Linked DNA regions of Solanum lycopersicum. The protein of the gene in region 2 interacts with the protein of the main gene of each other region in a pairwise test. Links are inferred from orthologs where the notes say so. Each region holds a gene or a part of one and is shown on either strand. Other genes may lie near its edges. The genes, in order: protein SCAR3 and protein BRICK 1.

What was found.
Region 1: the proteins of protein BRICK 1 (region 2) and protein SCAR3 interact in binary tests that used the Arabidopsis thaliana proteins (3 or more experiments, as listed by UniProt). The link is inferred for Solanum lycopersicum from reciprocal best matches to the Arabidopsis thaliana genes BRK1 and WAVE2.

What each region holds. Positions count from the first base shown.
Region 1 is NC_090801.1:58,161,145-58,170,101, reverse strand, and holds the end of protein SCAR3, read right to left. Parts: intron 7,296-8,957; coding exon 7,132-7,295; intron 6,885-7,131; exon of another isoform or gene 6,874-6,884; coding exon 6,750-6,873; intron 6,668-6,749; coding exon 6,535-6,667; intron 4,890-6,534; coding exon 4,822-4,889; intron 4,666-4,821; coding exon 1,662-4,665; intron 1,537-1,661; coding exon 1,432-1,536; intron 954-1,431; coding exon 846-953; intron 676-845; coding exon 631-675; 3' UTR 293-630; downstream 1-292. UniProt on the Arabidopsis thaliana protein: Involved in regulation of actin and microtubule organization. Part of a WAVE complex that activates the Arp2/3 complex. Regulates trichome branch positioning and expansion.
Region 2 is NC_090802.1:8,361,919-8,371,339, reverse strand, and holds the start of protein BRICK 1, read right to left. Parts: upstream 6,067-9,421; 5' UTR 5,966-6,066; exon of another isoform or gene 5,858-5,965; 5' UTR 5,849-5,857; coding exon 5,716-5,848; intron 5,614-5,715; coding exon 5,489-5,613; 3' UTR 5,450-5,488; exon of another isoform or gene 5,257-5,449; intron 2,852-5,256; exon of another isoform or gene 2,313-2,851; intron 3-2,312; exon of another isoform or gene 1-2. UniProt on the Arabidopsis thaliana protein: Involved in regulation of actin and microtubule organization. Part of a WAVE complex that activates the Arp2/3 complex.

The DNA.
Region 1 (8,957 bases), on a different chromosome or scaffold from region 2:
TATACTCGTCACTTCCCATTGTTTAGAGACATTTGTTCTACTATTTATGTTTCAACTATTACCTCAACTTCTCTACTTTGGATGTCTCGATGAATTACTTTTAGCTTGTACATTTTATTTATATATTTAGAGAAACATCTCAATTTTAATACTTTTAAGCTTCACTTTGTCCAACTGCTAATGTTTTTAGTTTCCATATCTATGGGGGGTCAGCCATGGAAGCAACTTCAGCAGGAAATCTGAACCATTCATTATTTCAAGGAACACGTAATAAATCTATCATGCCAACCCATTACGAGAATCTCACATAATATATAGTATAACAATTGTTAGGACTCTAAGAACGTGCAGTCGAAGCTGTGAAATATTACTACATAGATGTTGAAAACATTAAAAGAGAGGTGGCTTATGCATAAATTTATGCCTTGAAAATGTTGCTGGGTCATACTAGAGTTTAGAGCACAATGTTCAAAGCTACCTAAGGTGAAAAGCTAATCGAGATACAAAAAGGGACCTAAAAATACTTACAGATAACAACTAATTATTTACACACACACTCACCTAACTCCACAGGCAAAATTATACAGGCTTGGGTTTGATAGATTGATGTCATCATTCTTGAAAAATATTTCAAGTGTCACTCCAGTTATCTTCTCCATCATCACTTCCAACTGCCTGAATACAACAAGTTTAAAATAACAAGTCAATGAAAAAGGAATAAGTTGGATAGTTTCGCCGTGTTGGTAGTTTATGTTCCATTATTCTTGGAGTGACCAGGAGTGTGAGGATTCGAGGAGTAGGGGTTGTACAAGGGGAGAGAAGAATGCAGGTTATAATGTTGATACCTGACGGATTGCATTGGCTTTCTCCAATATTGCATTGACCTTGACGCTTGCTGGAGGCACTGTATTTCCAGTTGGTTTTGCTGGAGCAGTTCGTCTAAGATTGAACGACTGAATCATACAACAAAAAAGGAATGTAGATAATGAGAATTCGTCAAATGACATAAAATTGGAAAATTATTATCATCAGATGCTTCATCATCCTCAAGTATGAAGAACATACTTTCATAGTACTTCAACCCCCTACTCACATTTCAAAGAAGGGTGAAAGACAATTACCTACAGAAGGTGGGTCACATTCATGAGAAAGAAAATTAGAGGGTAGTTGTTCAAGGAAATATGGAGCTTAAAGATGCTAGTGAACCCATTGAGGTAACAGGCTAAAACTAGCTTAGCTATCCAATATCTAATTCAAAAAGAACGGCTAGCTGATTTTCCAAATCTAAAAATTCATGAAGTATTCAGAAAATTCACTCAGGCTTAAAGAAAATTAACAGATAAAAAAGGTAAACATAGCTGCACTAATCAATATCAAAACCAGACTGCAGACAAATATTCAATCACCAATAGGACAATAATGACCACTCACTTTTGCTCTAATCTGGTGTAGGAAGTCTTCCTTTTCATTGATTCCTCTGCCATTTCCAGCATGATCAGCAAATTGCTGCCCAGTTGTGTCTATTGACTGTGGCTGCTGCATGTGTAAATGTCTTTTTGTCACTTCCTACTTAACCAAGTGGGATATGAAAGCAGAAAGAGAACCTTTAAAACAAAATTTCTGTTCCTTTTGATATTTTGTAGTGGGGTTAGGAAGAATACCTTGCTTTTCAATGTAAATGCAGATTCAATAACTTGGTTTTGCTTGAATGGAGGAGGCTTAGGTTGATGGGAAATGGTCGATCCAGGCTCCTTGTGATCAAACACATGATGGTGTTCGGAGAAAAGATGTAGATCATCTTGTTCGTCATCTAAATGTGATTGCATATTCTGCCACTGCATTGAAGGAAGAGGTGGAGCAGGTGGTGTAGATTCCTTCAATGGCTCTAGAAAATCTCTTGCAGACGTAGTATTACCTACTCCATGCTTGAATGAGGAATGCTGGGTATCCAGAACCGGAAGATCAAATAAGTTATCAGACGGAGAATCCTCCAGAGAGGATTCTGCAAAAGGAATATGGTTTCTACTGCAGGTGTGCAAATCCTGATGAGTTGTTCGGCCATTCTCGAAAGATGTTGAAGTTGACTCAGTTAATGATATTCTATGCAAAGCATTGTATACTTCTTGGTCCTTTAAATTAGGGAAATTACCAGATTCCCACTGTTCAGAGTTTGACTCAGACTGATGGCTAAGATAATCATCTGATAGATCGGGAGATGATCCGGAAAATGTGTCATCATCGGAGTCTGAACCAACTTCTTGCAGAGGAATAGAAGGCTCTGGTACTAGCTGAAATGAAGGAAACATATCATTATTGCTTTCAGGAAATCTGAGCTTCAGTTTCGTAGTCTCAATGCTGTCTATTGGCTGGAATGAAATTTTCATATGTCCAAGTGGGGGTGATGAAGGAGGTGATGTGAAGGGGGACACTCTTCCTGGGAAGTCTTTGATTGTTCTACCCACACATTGTTGGTAGTCATTTATAGGCTCATTGCTTCCAGTGTTGAAAGAACTGGCTGAATCCGTCTTATCATTCCAACCAAGTGAGAGTTTCCCATGGAACCCATTTGTAAGCAATCTATTACCTAGTTCAAGAATACGTGATGAATTCTTTCCGTTCTCTTGACCAGCTAAAATAGGGGATTCTGGACTAACTGTACCGATTGTCCTAGATGTCATACCATATCCATTTGAAGAACTGTGAAGGGGCTTACCAGTGCAGTTTTGCTGGTATAAATTACTTGACTTGTCAAGTTTGACATCTAAATCTTTGGCTGAAAATCTTGATGATATGTTCTTAATAGAAAAGGCAACTCCTTGACCAGAATTTTGGCAATCAGCTTTCTCTCTTGACGTATTCTGTACATCATCTTGTTTCCCTGTATGCTTTTCACTGCTGGGAACAGGATCTTGCCTTGAAGCAATGACTTCCTCATTTTGATTAGATTCATAAACTTGACCAACACTATTTATTACACCATCTGGCGGCTTCGAGGGCTCAAGCCCGAGCAAGCCACCATTTGTCCAGAATTTGACTTTAGGAGTGGCAAGAAGTTGGGGTGGAGGTTTTTCAGAGTCGGAAGGACTACAATGGATCTTGTTGACCACTGGCAATGCTGAAGAAGGATTTCTAGGGCTAGAGGTGATATGATTGCTAACAAGTGGTTCCTCTTGTGATGCTTCCAGAAAATTGGATCTTTTACTTGAAGGGACATCTATAGAACTGTCTAGTTTTAAAGTAATTCCAGCAATCTGCGGAGACGATAAAATCTCATCAAACCCTGAAGAGATATTCTCTGGAATTTCCTTACGTTTTACTTTGTTAGAGAAGGAGAAATCTCCAGGATCAGAGTCAGCAGATACCAAGTTGGTCTTACCACCAAAACCACGGTTCTCAGGGGAATTTCTGGCTGCAGCCTCGGGTATAGGAGTAGACAAATTCCGATCAGAAAGTTCTGCACTATTTACATGGGTTCCATTCAAGGATGATTCAGTCTTCAAACTAGACTCCAGCTCCATTGCTCGTTTTCTTTGGCAATCCAAATCAGTTTCAGACTCTGACTCAATGGTGTTAAGTGCATCCATAAAACTGTCGCTTTCACTTTCAATGTCATCAAACTGGCTTTCATAAGAAATTGACCTTTGTATAATTTCAGCCTCCGGCTCAGAACTTTGCTGTTGAATATTTTCAGAAGTTGCTATATCTAATACCTGTGTATCTAGGACTAGATTTTCTTGAAGTGCCTCCAAACTCTCATCAAAATCATACTTCTGAATACTCAGGTCCAACTGTTCATTCTTAACACTGCTACTTGAGAAAGGTGAACTAAGAACCACCTGCCCTTGTGGAAAATTGTTACTCTCTTCATCAGATATGACCCAAAGCTTTTCATTGGGAGAATCATCTTCTATGGAAGCACTTGGATTCATCTGTAACGGAGAGTAAAAGATTTCTTTAGACTCTACTTCAGCAGTTCTCATCTTATCACTCAAAGCAACAGGCAATAAGTTGCGGCCAATTTGCTCCTCTGTTAAGCTGTTTCCCATATCACTGTACTCATCATCGCCTTTTCGAACAGGGGAAGCACAATCAGGCAAATTATCATGATGAATCTGGGAGGGAGAAGAAAAGGATTCTCTAGATTCTTGTTTCTCACGTCCTGTTTTATCATTCCAAGTAATAGAAGATGTGCAACGATCAGCTTGCTCTTCGGATACAATATTACCAATGTCGTCATAAACAACTTCACGTCTTTCCTCAGGAAAATCATGATTAAATGTATTGTTAAGATGAAGCTGTGAAGTTGAATCAAAGGATCCTTTAGACTCTTGCGTGTCAGGTAGCTTCATGTTCCAAGAAACAGACGTTGAAACAAGGTCAGTTAGCTCTTGTGAAAAATCTTTGTCAATATCATTGAAAGTGTGATCACTCTTTTCTTCGAGAAAAGAATAATCAAACGACTGATTGTGCTGCATTTTTATTGTAGACGAGACAGTCTCAGATTTTCCATCTTCAGGTTGAATAGAGAAACTTGTCTGTGAAACATAGTCCGTCAGACCCGACCCATGTCTCGAATCTATGTCAGATTTGAGGGTTGTATCATATGCGGAGAAACTCTGAACCCAGGAAGGACGCCTATCGAGATTTCTATAAGCAAATTGCATTCTGCAAAAATCACAAAGTTATATTTCAGAAAATTCCGATCTGTAAAAGCTACAAATATACTTCCCCCTACCCCCCTCCCTATCATACATCAATTCTCTAAAGTCACCACTTTTTCTCCATCTTTTCTGTCCGCAAGAGAAGACAAGAAATGCATACCTACTGCCATAATTGGGCATAGACGCACTACGAGAGACTTCTCCATTCCTCCTCCATGATCCTTTCTTCTGTTCAATGTTGACACATATTTGCATTAGAAAACTTCTTGAAATTACTACCAAACAGAAACAAGCTTGCAATAGCTCAAATTTTTGGTTAACATTCATATGCACTTGTTGGAAAATACCAATGGAGATAAATCCTTTTTTGAGCTTATTATAAGAAGCACTACAGAAAGTATATTCTAATATTTCAGGGCCGAAGTAACACCCCGTTAAACAAAAGACCATAGTCTATACCAGGGAATAGAACAAAATCTCAGTGCAAATAAGCTCTGATCCTTTTCAATTTTTACTTATGGAAAGATGACACATAAGAAGCCCATCCCCCTTGCATCTTATGCTCAATCTGCACATATAGTATCACCTTTCATTCCCGTTCTCTGTTAGGAGAATGGTTATGGAAAGACTTAAGATTAATGCAATTATAAACAGACAGTACTAACTTGTGCTTCTAGTAAATGCTTGATGTTCACTGTGCAAAGTTAGATGTCATCAATGTCAAGCACTGGTATGCTCATGGGTTGTGTCTCCTTCCCCGGCTTCCTCTCAACGTTCTTTTTAAAGCCAAACACCTTCAACAACTTCCAATGAGCAACCCCAAAACAAGAAAAATAAAGGAAAAAAGGACAACCCTGTATTGATATATTGGCAGTGGATTCCTAATATTTGGTATAAACTAATACAACTATTTAGTTTTGGACTCTGCTAGGTTTCTATTTATGCCCTCTCTCCCATTCGAGGATAGTAATCAATACATGAGATATAGCTTTCCACACAAAGAAAGTTCTTCAAACCCAAAAGCTAAACAGACAATGCGGAAAAGATGAAAGAAAGGACAATGTCGCGGTCCTTCCTTACCTAGGCCTTACGCATAGTGGGAGCTTAGTGCACCGAACTGCCCTATTTCTTTGTTCCAATTGACAGTGTAAGTTATATATTAGTTAATTTAGTTTATTTAGATGAAAATGCTATGTCCAAAAGAGAATATAATATGAACTACCACTTGAATATATTTCATAAATTTGTGCAAAAGATATTGTTGATATGCTTCTTTGCTCTATTAAATGTATCAACCAGTGAGGAATCGGTGTTTAGTTTTATTGAGTTATTTGCTTGAAAAGAACTTTAACAATAAAAGATCTGGTTGCAATTTTTCTTTGTTGAAAAGACAGTTCCATCATGTTATTAATTAACATACTGGTCTTTTTTTTTTAATCTGCTAAATTCATGTGATAGTTTACAATCAAAGCTAATTTCATTTTCATTTCATTCAGTTTTCAATAATTGTATCTCATTTTATGTTTCTTTATCTATGTGTATAGACTAATACAAATTTATACTCCTAAATCTATATATTTGACATAGATGATCTTCTCCCGATGAATCCAATTTCTAGCTATCCTTGCTAATTATATGGTTCTAACCTATCCCATACAGCATACTTCTGGCTCTACCTATATGCAAGGCACATTATGGAGAGGCTTTCATTGATGTGTGTGTACTTGTATTTTACTATTTAAGATGTAGTTCTTCAACTTTATAATATCCTTTGTGTCCTGTGAATAGATACGAGGATACTGCTCATAAAAATCCCAAGTCAATCTACACTAGTTAAGCTGTGGCAGGTATTTCAGAATAATTTGTGAGATACCTTAATCTTCCGACCCTTCTTTTCTTTAAGGACTTTGGCAATATATTCTTCGTCTGACCCAACAGATGCTCTCTTAAAGAAAGTTGGATCTGAATACCTTTTCAAGCAAGATCCAGGTCCTCCAGGGTCAAATCTGAAGAGACAAGTAAAAATTTTATGAGTGTAACAGTGCAATCAGGATATACAAATATAGCTATAAAGGTGAGTTCACATACTTGTCAAGCAAATGCAAGCGTGGCGGAGCATGACACTCTTCGTACGAATCCATGATAAATCTTGGCAAGTCATTGTATATAAAATGATTTTGTTCACTACGGATACGGGCATGCCAATTGGATCCTGCATACCAACTGCTTCCATAAAAAAAAAACTCGAGCAGGAAAAGAAGCCATTTGATCTGCGGAAATAGATATTCCAAATACACCGAAAGTGAAGTATTTCCTACAACCAACACTTCATTTGTGGAACTATTTGGAACATCATTTGTATCATAGATAGATATATCTGAGCGAGATAAATAAAACCAAATCACCCCCGTTCCCACTATCTTCTATCATCAGTAGAAGAAATCCAGTAATTGAGATTAAAAAGTCATACCAGCTGTATAAGCAAAGTGTAAATGACTCTGTTGCGCCAATACTGATTTCTCAAGTGGAGGAAGTGCAGCTTCAATTTTTTGCACCCGAACAACCAACTTATTGCTTCTCGAGGATGTAACCATCACTTGCTCTTGTAAGCCATGAAACACTTCCGCTGCAAATCTACAAGTACAAAACTTCTCTTAATTACTATGTTTTAAGCATTCAAAAACTCAGCAGGAAGTCCTGAATTGATATAGCTCATACAGATTATACGTTGTAGTTATAACCCATCTAAGAAATGGTAAATGCTGGGCCAGCATTGTCAAAATGTAGTTTAATGTGAGCCCCGCCCCACAAGGATATAGCTTACCGGTCAATGATGTTTTAATGAAGACCATGAGATACCAAGGTTGAAATTCTAGCAGAGGCAAAAAATTAAGGTGATTTCTTCCCATCTGCCTAAGCCTTGATAGGTAAAGTTACCTGATACATGATCCTGTATTGGTGTAAAGATGCAAGTATCTGTGAAATCGTTGAGGTGCATGCAAGCTGGTATAGAAACTCTATTATATACCATGTATAAGAAAAAGAAGAGGAGTTCAATGTGGTGAACTTCCCTTCTTATCAGAGGTTAATGGCTCTTGCCTTTTGGAGGAAGAAGTAATGAGTTGTGCTTAACTACGCATTTGATTTTTGTAGGGAAGAATTCTTTTGTTGCTTTTGGATAGTTTTCTGAGTTTTAGTTCTAATATACATATATCTGCAGATAACTTAAGTGCTCTGAATTAGCCATCAGTTATTTGGAGCTGATGTTGATATTGATATATAAGTTGCAGGGGGTATTTCAAACAGCCAATAATAATATGTTTGACCAAGCTTCTGAGAAGCCAAAAGTGTTTATATTAGAGAATAGGGGTGTTTGTATGGTAAAATTAAAAGCTTATAGTAGCAGAAGCTGGAAAAAAGTAGCTTTTTCCCAGAAACACACCTGCAGCCTTGGCCAAGTGCAAATTACTGCTCTAATATTGGCAAAAGTGCTTACCAAATTGATTAGCCAAACACAAACTGCTAATCTTCAAAATCACTTTTTCAAAAAACTACTTTTGACAACATAAAAACACTAATTAAAATAAGCAGGTTTTCGCAGCTTGGCTAAAGTCTAAACAGGTGAAGTCTCAAAAGTGTTTAACATTTTGCCTTATCCTTTAAGATCAACACAAGGTTCTAAAAAGATTGGGGGTACATACTATTATCTATTGCTCTATAGTAATTTTGGTCTTCATTTGGTGGAACGAGATATATGTAAGTTTACTCTCAGTTTAATGGCCATAGAGTAAGTTGAACGCACTATACATATACCCCACTCGTCTAAATATTTTTTCACTTCACAATTCTCTAGAGTCAATATGACAAAACCCTTTACCACAAATTTCTTTGGTAAATCTGTTTGCTATCTTCAAATCAAAAGTTTATCCTTTTCTCATTTTCCACAAAATTCAGTCAACTTAACTTAGGTAGATCCGAAGTAACCAAATTAAACACAAAAAGGAGTTACCTTCTTCTTCTTTTTTCTTATTTATAAGACATCTTTTTTCTCCTAATTCAAATGACATTTTTCCAATTGAAATAGCCAGAAGTGTTTAACATCACTAGTATAGTTTCAAAAATCCAAATCAAACAACAACTACTACACCTCATTCTCAAACAAGTTAAGAGGTGAACTATATGAATCCCGACTTCTTCATTTAAGCTCATTTTGTATCATCGTCATACTAAATAATAAAATGAAAACTAATTTCAAATATATATAATAAATAATAAAAACTATAATACTATAAGTTC
Region 2 (9,421 bases):
TTCTAATAGAATTGAGATTTAGGCCTTCATTGATGTTTGAGCTTAGAAACTACTAATGTTACAAAACAATAACGAAGATATAGAAAACTCACAGAAAACAAATAGAACTATCAGATATTCATCAGAAATAGAACAATTTAGACCAGTTTAGCCGGGGCATAAAGCATCCCGAGTTAGCAGGTTTAGGAAGAGCCTCACCTGTGAATTGTGATATAGACAACCTAACCTAATGCAAGCATTAGTGATTGCTTCCACAACATTTCCCATAGCCCCCACCACAGCTGCCACAACTACTGTTTTTAACCTTCTTTCTGAACTCTTCCATAGCCAATAAGCCCAATATACCTGCTCTCTATTCTGTCCCCACAACCAACAAACAAACTGCCACAAGACCCCTCACTGGATTACTAAATAACCACTACCACTACCACTTGTGTCCACTGTCACTTCCCTAAGTGATATCCCTTTAACAACTGCACATTCACTGCTTATGCTAGTTTCTTAAAGTTGGTAAATCCTTCTCTTTCTAGCAGGCTACTGCACTCATCCTTTCTCAAAATATCGAAAGAGTAAACTTGTTATGTTACCAGGAGAAAGTATTCATCCCTCTTCACCAGCTGATCTTCAAAGAAGATAAACGAATCTCTTCGAATCAGAAAAAATATATAGAGGTGCAAACCAACATAGTGTTGTTCATTCAAAATAAAACTTATGCCAACTGCTTAACTAATGCAACTTTGCATAACTTAATCCTAAGACTGGCAACGAACCGGAACGAGACCACCAGACTGGAATGAACCGTAACCAGACCAGAATGGGACGAGTTGATCGGTACCGGGTGAACCGAACCGAAATTACCGAAACGGATACTCAGTTCCGTCCCGTCCCACTATATACCGGGATGGAACGGAATGACACATCTAGTTATCTCAAAAAATGATTTTTTTTAATTACGAAATATGAATATTTTTTTTTTCTAAGTTTAAATTAATAGTTTTTAAATTTATAGTGTAATTTCTTACTTAAGTTATTTTAAAGATAATTTTTTATAAAAATTTTACTTTTAAGTTTGCACGTTAAGTCTAATAAAGTTAGTACTTATTATTTATTAATATGTTATAATTTATAAGTAATATTTATAACTTGTAATTTAAATAAATTAAATTTGTAATTTTAAAAATTAAAAAAAATAAGGATAAAACAATCACACAAATTAAAAAATATCAATTTGATTTATTTAAATTTGTATTATAAATTACAATTTCAATTTAGAACTACTAGTAGGGTGCATAGTTTATGTAACCACCTTCTAGGAAAGGTTCTGTTTCAACTAAGTCTCGAATGTAATATTAATATAGTAATGTAATATTAATATAATACTAATAGGGAGTAGTTGGGGTTACTTGGGTAGTATTTATTATTTAATATAAAATATAAAATATAAATTATAATTTATAAATATATAATATAAATTAATTAATAAATTATAATATTAATTAATTAATAAATATTAATTAATCGAAATCGGACCGGACCGGACCAGACCGAAACCGGGATAAACCACCGATACCAAACCTCGGTTCCATTCCGTTCCGTGTCCCGGTTCGAGATGTCCCGTTCAGTCCTGTAGGCAACCGAACCGGGACTAACCAAAATGGTACCGGTACATCCCGTTCCGTTGTCCAGCCTTACTTAATCTGCATAATAACTTGCAAGTGTTCTCTTTGATGTTCAGGTTAAACTTCATAGTAGGAACACAAGAGTTGAACAAATTATGCATCGAGGTATTAAGGAAGAGGATCTGTGGAAGCTGGTGCTTACTAACCATGCATGGCCAACATTGTAAGAGAGCTTGAAGATGCCATGATAATAGATATAAGGACTTTGAAGTCCATTTAAAGTTTGGAAGATCTTATCATTTCTCTATAGAATAGAAAGATCCATTAACCTTCCACCCACTAAATTTGAAATAGATCCATTCATCACCTCCTTTCAAAACCAGCTCCTCCACTGCCGAGATAATTGTTCAGCACAAGGATTACGGCTGTTTTTTTAAAAAACATTTCTTTTTGAAACTATTACGGCTGTTGCAACATATAACAGATTCGGTGGGAAGTTTCTCAAACAAATTACTTCCTTCAAATTCCTTCAACTTAAACTGTCCCTTATTTATTCATTGAAGAAGATTCTAAAATGTAAGAGAGCTTCTAAATAAATGCCCACTATTAATAAAATCCAAGCACTGGTTCTTTTCTAAGCATAGCACAAGAACACGTGCAGCTTGCTATACGTCACTGCTCTGGGTCATTCAATTACTGAAGCATTAACCTATCAAAGAATAAGATTCAATCCACAACAAATCTGAAACTTCACATCTCACATCACTGAAAAGCTGCACAATCCAAACTTAGGGTTCGGCCGACATCAAATAACAGGAGATTTTATCTACCTAAACCCTGATAAGTAGCATCACTTCTTTTATAAAATAAAAAAGGAATAAGAGAAAATTACTCTTAATCACCCTCAAATGTAACCGTGTACGTTAAAAGACTGTGCAGCGGCTCACGGCTTATTAAGGGCTTATCTTTCCATAATAACGATGACATCCGTACTTTGAAGATTATATGAAATGAGTTGAGATCAGATAGCCGAAATCCTTGGGTCAAAAGATAGGATAGAGTTCTTGAATAGTCACTGGCTCACTGCAAACATGTTTTACTGAGTCCAAGAAATCCCTCTCTCACCCCAACTTTGGTGCAATATTCAAACAGCATCTTGTGAAAACATAGATCATTCATAATTGCTAGAGGGAAATAAAATTTCACTAGCAGGAGATGGCGAGATCCCTAAACTGTAAACAAGAATTGCAACAATAGCTAGTTTGAATTAGAAGGACGTTGAACTTAATAAACCATCAAAAGGAAAGTTGTAATTCTTAAAAAACTCAGAAGTTTTTTATGCAGTACATAAATAGCCTGTGAGAATTTTTCCTGTTGCAAGTTGAGAACTCGGATAAAAGAAGAGAATTACGGTAGGTTGACGGCCAGCAAGTAATTATTCATTATATGATGAATCCTCACAAGCTATTAAGGATCAATATAACCAACTTCAACTAGCTTGGAATAGAGGCGTAGTTAACATAAAGAAGATGGATGGACAGAGTAAGTTATGTCAAAGTTTCCAGGCACCATACATGTATGTAGGGTGTTAAACTTTTACTTCTTATGTTCTTTATACAGCAACTAGGGTGTTAATTTCCATAGGATCAAAATAAAGAAAATAGAAGAATTAACCTAAATAGCTGCCTACCCAACAGCTTAAACTAAAAATAGCCGGCGGATGTATAATATAATATTGTATAACCGTGGATGATATATGTGTAGCGTTTAGGAAAACTAAACAGTGAATCTGGTTGGCTATTTGTGTAAAGATCCCAAAATCAAATATGGAGGGAACAAATGAAGCTGGAAGGAATGAGAATACTCATTGCCCTGTAAACCCTTCCATTTCAGGAATACACGAGCTTTCAGCACTCAAAGTTACAGTGATACAACAGGTCAATGAGGTCTGAAAACACAAGTTTCATGTCTTCGTAAAAATGAGATGTGTTTGATAGAAAGAAAGCAATGTGATCAAGTTGAAGGGCTAATTAGAAAATAACTTGATTCAAGGTGTTTCTGGATTGAGAGATCTGAGAAATATGTGAATGAATTATCTCAGATTCTCTTTCTTTTCTTTCTTGACAAGAGTTGAATTATCTCAGATAAAAGAAACTAGAACTCAAGGCTGCTAAGACACTGAGAGGGAGCTGATACAATCTAAAGGGGAATGACACCATTTACAGGGGATAGATTGCTCTTTCTAAAGAGATTTATCAAACACTTGGACTTAAGAGAGCAGTGAGGAGTTGAAGTCCCATCAAAACATCTTTTGTTCCTTTCTGCGCATAGACACCAAAAATTACGAGCTGGATCATTTGCCAGATCTTCTTAATGGACTTGTCCACTTCCACATAATACAACTTCCAACTAGAACTAAAACTTATTACTTAACTCCTATAGGCTATAAGTCCATTACAAATTTAACATTAATATAATCTTATAACTTTGTAAATAAACAGTGCTCAATCTAAACTACGAACCTGGTGGCTAGTATGAAGAAGGCAAGGGAAAAACATGTAAACAATAGCAGTCAATACCAAGTAACCCTTAATAGATAAATCAACCATGTTAACAATAACCAGTCTGGAATATAGCTGTATGGTATATGGCCAGCAAGCTATTTCATTCTCATGTCCAACCTTTCATTATGTTAAACTCTGTATTGAAAACGATTATTCATTTTGTCCCAATTTATGTGTCTACTTTCACCTTTAGTCTGTCCTAGACAGAATGTCATACTTACTTAAACTTTCTATTTTACCCTTAATGAGGATTTCCTACTAGACACATCTCTGACTTGTTTTAGACCACAACTTCAAAGAGTCTTTTTAATTTCTTAATCTCTGTGCCAGTCACACGACGCCACATAAATTGGAACGAAGGACGTATTAAAAACAAGGATGTATTAAAAACTGCTACAAGTCAGGAAGTCCTAATTAAAGCTTCCATGTCCAAGTATGATCTAGAAACCTCTAATTTACTTCAAAAGATAATTCTTTTAGTATTACAAAGAAGCAGGATGGATTAGAGGATTCACATAGATGACACAACAAGTTTTAGTTTAAGCATCGTTGATTGGTTACTGACTACAAGAATGACATTTCACATGATTGTATTACATAAAAAGTTAGTAGAAAAAAAATGAGAAGGTAAAACGATCATTTTTTTCCCAGAGAAGGTAAAGTAACTTTTATAAATGAACAAGCACAATGTTCCTATTTCCACATATAAATCTCCATCGCACATGAGAAAAGAACCAACTCACAGAGAAAAATAAGAGACTGAGATCCAGCAGATTAAAGTTCCAAGAAGCCATATGAAGAAAACAGGCAAGAATATCAAAACGGCATTACAGAAGGTATAAACAACATTTGCTTCATATTAACTAGGTCAAAAGATTAAGATGGTCTTGAAGAATTTATAGTAATGCTTTGACCCCTCAAATCAACTTATCATTCCAATTTACACATAGACAATCTCCATTGTGCATTAGCAATGAACCAACACAGTAGTTTTAGCGAACTGAAAACTTAGATGAAAGAAACTGTAGATCCAATAGGTATGCATACTTGCAGCTACTAAATTCCATGAATCATTTCCACAAAATTGCAACTGATTATTAACTATCCGAACATAATGTACTTGAATAGAGCCGAATCTCACACAAATTCATATAGCTAACCTAACTAATTCAGGCACATTTGATTGAGATTTTCATAAAACAAGGACTTTTCACAAATATGATCTCCAAAACAAAGCAATCTATTTATAATACAGAATTGAAGTACCTTACAGATTGAGAATATTAGTACAATGCTTGCATCATGTCAAACATTAAACAGAGCTGGATTAGCAGTTGCTGTACTGACTTGGACTTCAAGCAGTTCCAAACGACGTTCCAGTGTATCAAGCTTCTCATTCAGTGTCGCCAATTTACTCTTCGTCGTCGCCTCTGAAAGTAGAACAAAATCAACACCGAAATCGCTTTACAACAGGAATTTAACAAAAACCGAATATTTGCCCTAAGGATATTGAATGAGTTAGAGAAATTTACCGAATTGGACGAGGAAATCGAAGAGTTTGCGGACGTTGAGAGAGATGTGAGATATGAATTCACGATTTTCCCAATCTGCTTGTACTGCTATGCCTACATTCACCGCGTTTGTTATTCCTCCGGCTCGAGCCATTTCTGGTCACTGTTTTCCGATCAACGGAGAAGAAAGAGAGAGAGATGCGGAAGGAGAACAAACAATTCTGCAATGATTAGTTTTAGGTTAAAGGAAAATGGAGGAGATAGTGATTACCTTCTTTGTTCTTCAAAGGCAAGCATCTCTACTTGCAAATCTGTTTTTTTCTAAAAAAAAAGAAGATAGATATAAATGTCGAAAATACGTTTAACTTAAAATATTAATTTCATATTGGCTTGAGAAATACGTATAATTGATATCATACTTATATGTTCAATATTTTAGATATAAAATTCAAAAAAAATAATTTAAATATGTTTCTTACACTTATTTTAAAAGAGAAAAAATGATAAATATATTCAAACTATTATAAATGGTATATAAATAATCTGTCATATTTTTGAATAATGTCTTTGTCATTCAAAAATTAAAATATATATATATTCTTCACTCTAATGAAAAATCAAATAGGAACACATGACATGACGCAGTTAACAATCAAATGTATCCCTTCACCTTATACATCATTTGATTTTCCTCACAATAGTTATACTACACCCCGATTCATAGTGACACTTTAACTCTTGTTCACAAGAGGGATTAGAATCATTATAACAATAGAATTTTACCCCATATCAATATATAATGAGATTATTTATCTGCAGATTACGTAATTGCATATAACTTATTTTGATTAGAAAGTTCAATAAAATCTTGATATTAATATTTTCTTGAAAAATCGATCCAGTATGAATAGAAATTGTCATTACTAAAGATTCAGATTTAATCAATAATATGAAGAAAGTACGAACGAAAAGAAGTTGAAATGATATATAAAAGAAAAAGAAAATAAAATTTTCAATACTTATCTCCATATAAAATTAGTGTTTAATCTTGAACCTGAATATCGATAAACAAATTCACGTTTATAATAGGAATATACATTCTCATCAAATATAGGAGATGGACCTATGCACCTATTAATAACAACGATAATATATACATTGACAAATGATTTTGTAAATCAAAGATTAAAAATAACTAACTACGGTGGATACTCCATAATATATTTTGGAGTCTTAATATGATTCATAATATATTCAGTTATCAATACATAGTTTGCAAAAGATGGGCTATCAGAATGTATCTTCCGGCCAGAGGACAAGAGTTTATTCTACTAGGAGTTTAATCTCTTCAATACCTTCTTGACTAAATTATTGTAATATATAAGTTGTAGTTAAAAAATAAATTGAATAAATATATATTTAGAATGAGCTATGAAAATTTCACTGTTTTTTTTAAGGAGATTCAAGTTTCTGAGACATAATTTACATCGATTCAATAATATATTTCTTGACCTGTTCTTTAAACGATACAACAGTCTAACAATGTTATATAATTTAAACAACTCAGAATTAGTTAAAGATTTCAAATATCCATCAATAGAAATATGCATTTCTTCAACTTACAATGCCTCACTTTTGTATTGTGAAAAGCTTGGAGAAGAATATTTTTTTCTTCTCCTAACGGTCTCTTTCACTATATCAACCTCAAAATATAAATAAAATATAGGGCACATTTCACCATATATAAATTTCGCGAGTAAAATTTGGGAGAAAATATGGTAAATAGTATTTGTCCATATAATTTGACATAATTTAGTAAATTATCCAAATAATAGAAAAAAGCTAGCCGTTTGGCCATAGATTTCCCAAATAATATTTGAAAATTAAAATTTTACCCCAAACTTTTATCCTTTACAAAAACACCCTCTATAGTAGTTGCTTGCATTGTATTACATAATTTTTTACGCGGAACACCAAAATAGTGATGAAATATTTACTGAATATTAAATGATGATATGTTTATTGATGAAAATGATGAACAATAGGCTCATGATAACAATGTCATGTGATTTGTCTACTTCATGATGTATGGAATGATGCATGTTTCACTCACTCCAAATTACCACATTACTCTAGTGTCATGGACACTATTTGTTATCGTTGGAACGAAAATCCAATTCACTTGTAATACAAACTTATGGTTAGTTTTGATAGTTTTAAAAATTTATGGGTATAAATCATATTTTTCTAAAAAAGTGAAATATATTTCTCAAATACTAGCAAGCACATGGTGAAATTTCACCCAAATTTTCACCCTAATAATATTTGCCAAGAATATTTGAAATCTATGGTCAAACGCTAGCTTAAGTATTTGAGTCAAATCTCATGATTTGGTAACTTTTAATAATTCAAATTCTACACCAAACTTTTATCTTTTATATAAGAACACCCTCCATAGTAATTTTTTGCATTGTTTTATATAATTTTTTACGTGAACATCAAAGTGGTGATTGAAATTCAATGACTATAAAAGTGATGATATATTTATTGATGAAAATGATGAACAATCGGCTTAGGGTAATAAAGTCATGTGCTATGTAATACAAATTTATGGTTTGTTTTGATAGTTTTTAAAACTTGTAATATAAATCATATTTTTTGAAAAGGTGAAATATAATTCCCAAATACTATGGTCAAATACATGGTAAAATTTTCACTCAAATAATATTTATCAGATAGTCAAACGTTAGCATAATACTTCTCATCTTTCTCATCTATTACAAAAGAGAAAAGACATTGACACCTGAAGTTGTCTCAGATTTTTAAAAAGACACATTAACTATGTAAATGTCCTATTACCCCACAAAAGTATTAAATATCTTTGTAAATTGACCATTTTGGCTCATTTTCTCATCAACCTCACACGCGTGAGACACACTCTCCTTTTAATTAATTAATTTAATTTAAATATCAATTAAATACAGGTTTAACCCGACCCAAATCGTTTAAAAAGATAAATGGTACACTTTCTTTTCTTTTCTTCTCTCTAAATTTCTCACTTTCTTTCTTTATATTTTATTTTCTTGCTCAATTGCAATTCAATTACAACTTCTTTTGAAGTTTACATCTATTTCAATTTCACCTTTTGTTGGTCAATTTCTTGGGAAATTAGCTGAGCAAACAAGAAGTTTTCATGTTCATTTTAGTATTTGATATAGATTATATTTTTTCTTCTTCATGGATTTGTGATCTTCTGGAGAAAAACACATGTTAGAAATTATTTTAAGATAAAAACTAAAAAGTGTTAGAATCTTACCTTCTTTTTTAAAAAATTCATCTTGGACCAATGGTCCATTATTATTAATAGGGAAAAGGGTCTGATATACCCATCAACTTTGTCATTTGGAGCTGATATACCCCTCGTTATAAAAGTGGCTCATATATACCCTTACCGTTATACAAACAGCTCACATATACCCCTGTCGTTACAAAATGGCTCACATATACCCTTCATTTAACGGAATTTAAAAGATTAGTTTTAAATTTATATTTATTACTTCTATTTTTTCAAAAAAAATTATTTAGGGGTATATATGATTCTTCTATCAAAGTTCAGGGTATATTTTAATTTTTTTCATACATAAATTATTTTTTGACTTCTTTTATTATAATTATTTGAATTTTTTATTCTTATTTGGTTTTTTTCTTTCATTCCTTAGTTTAAAGA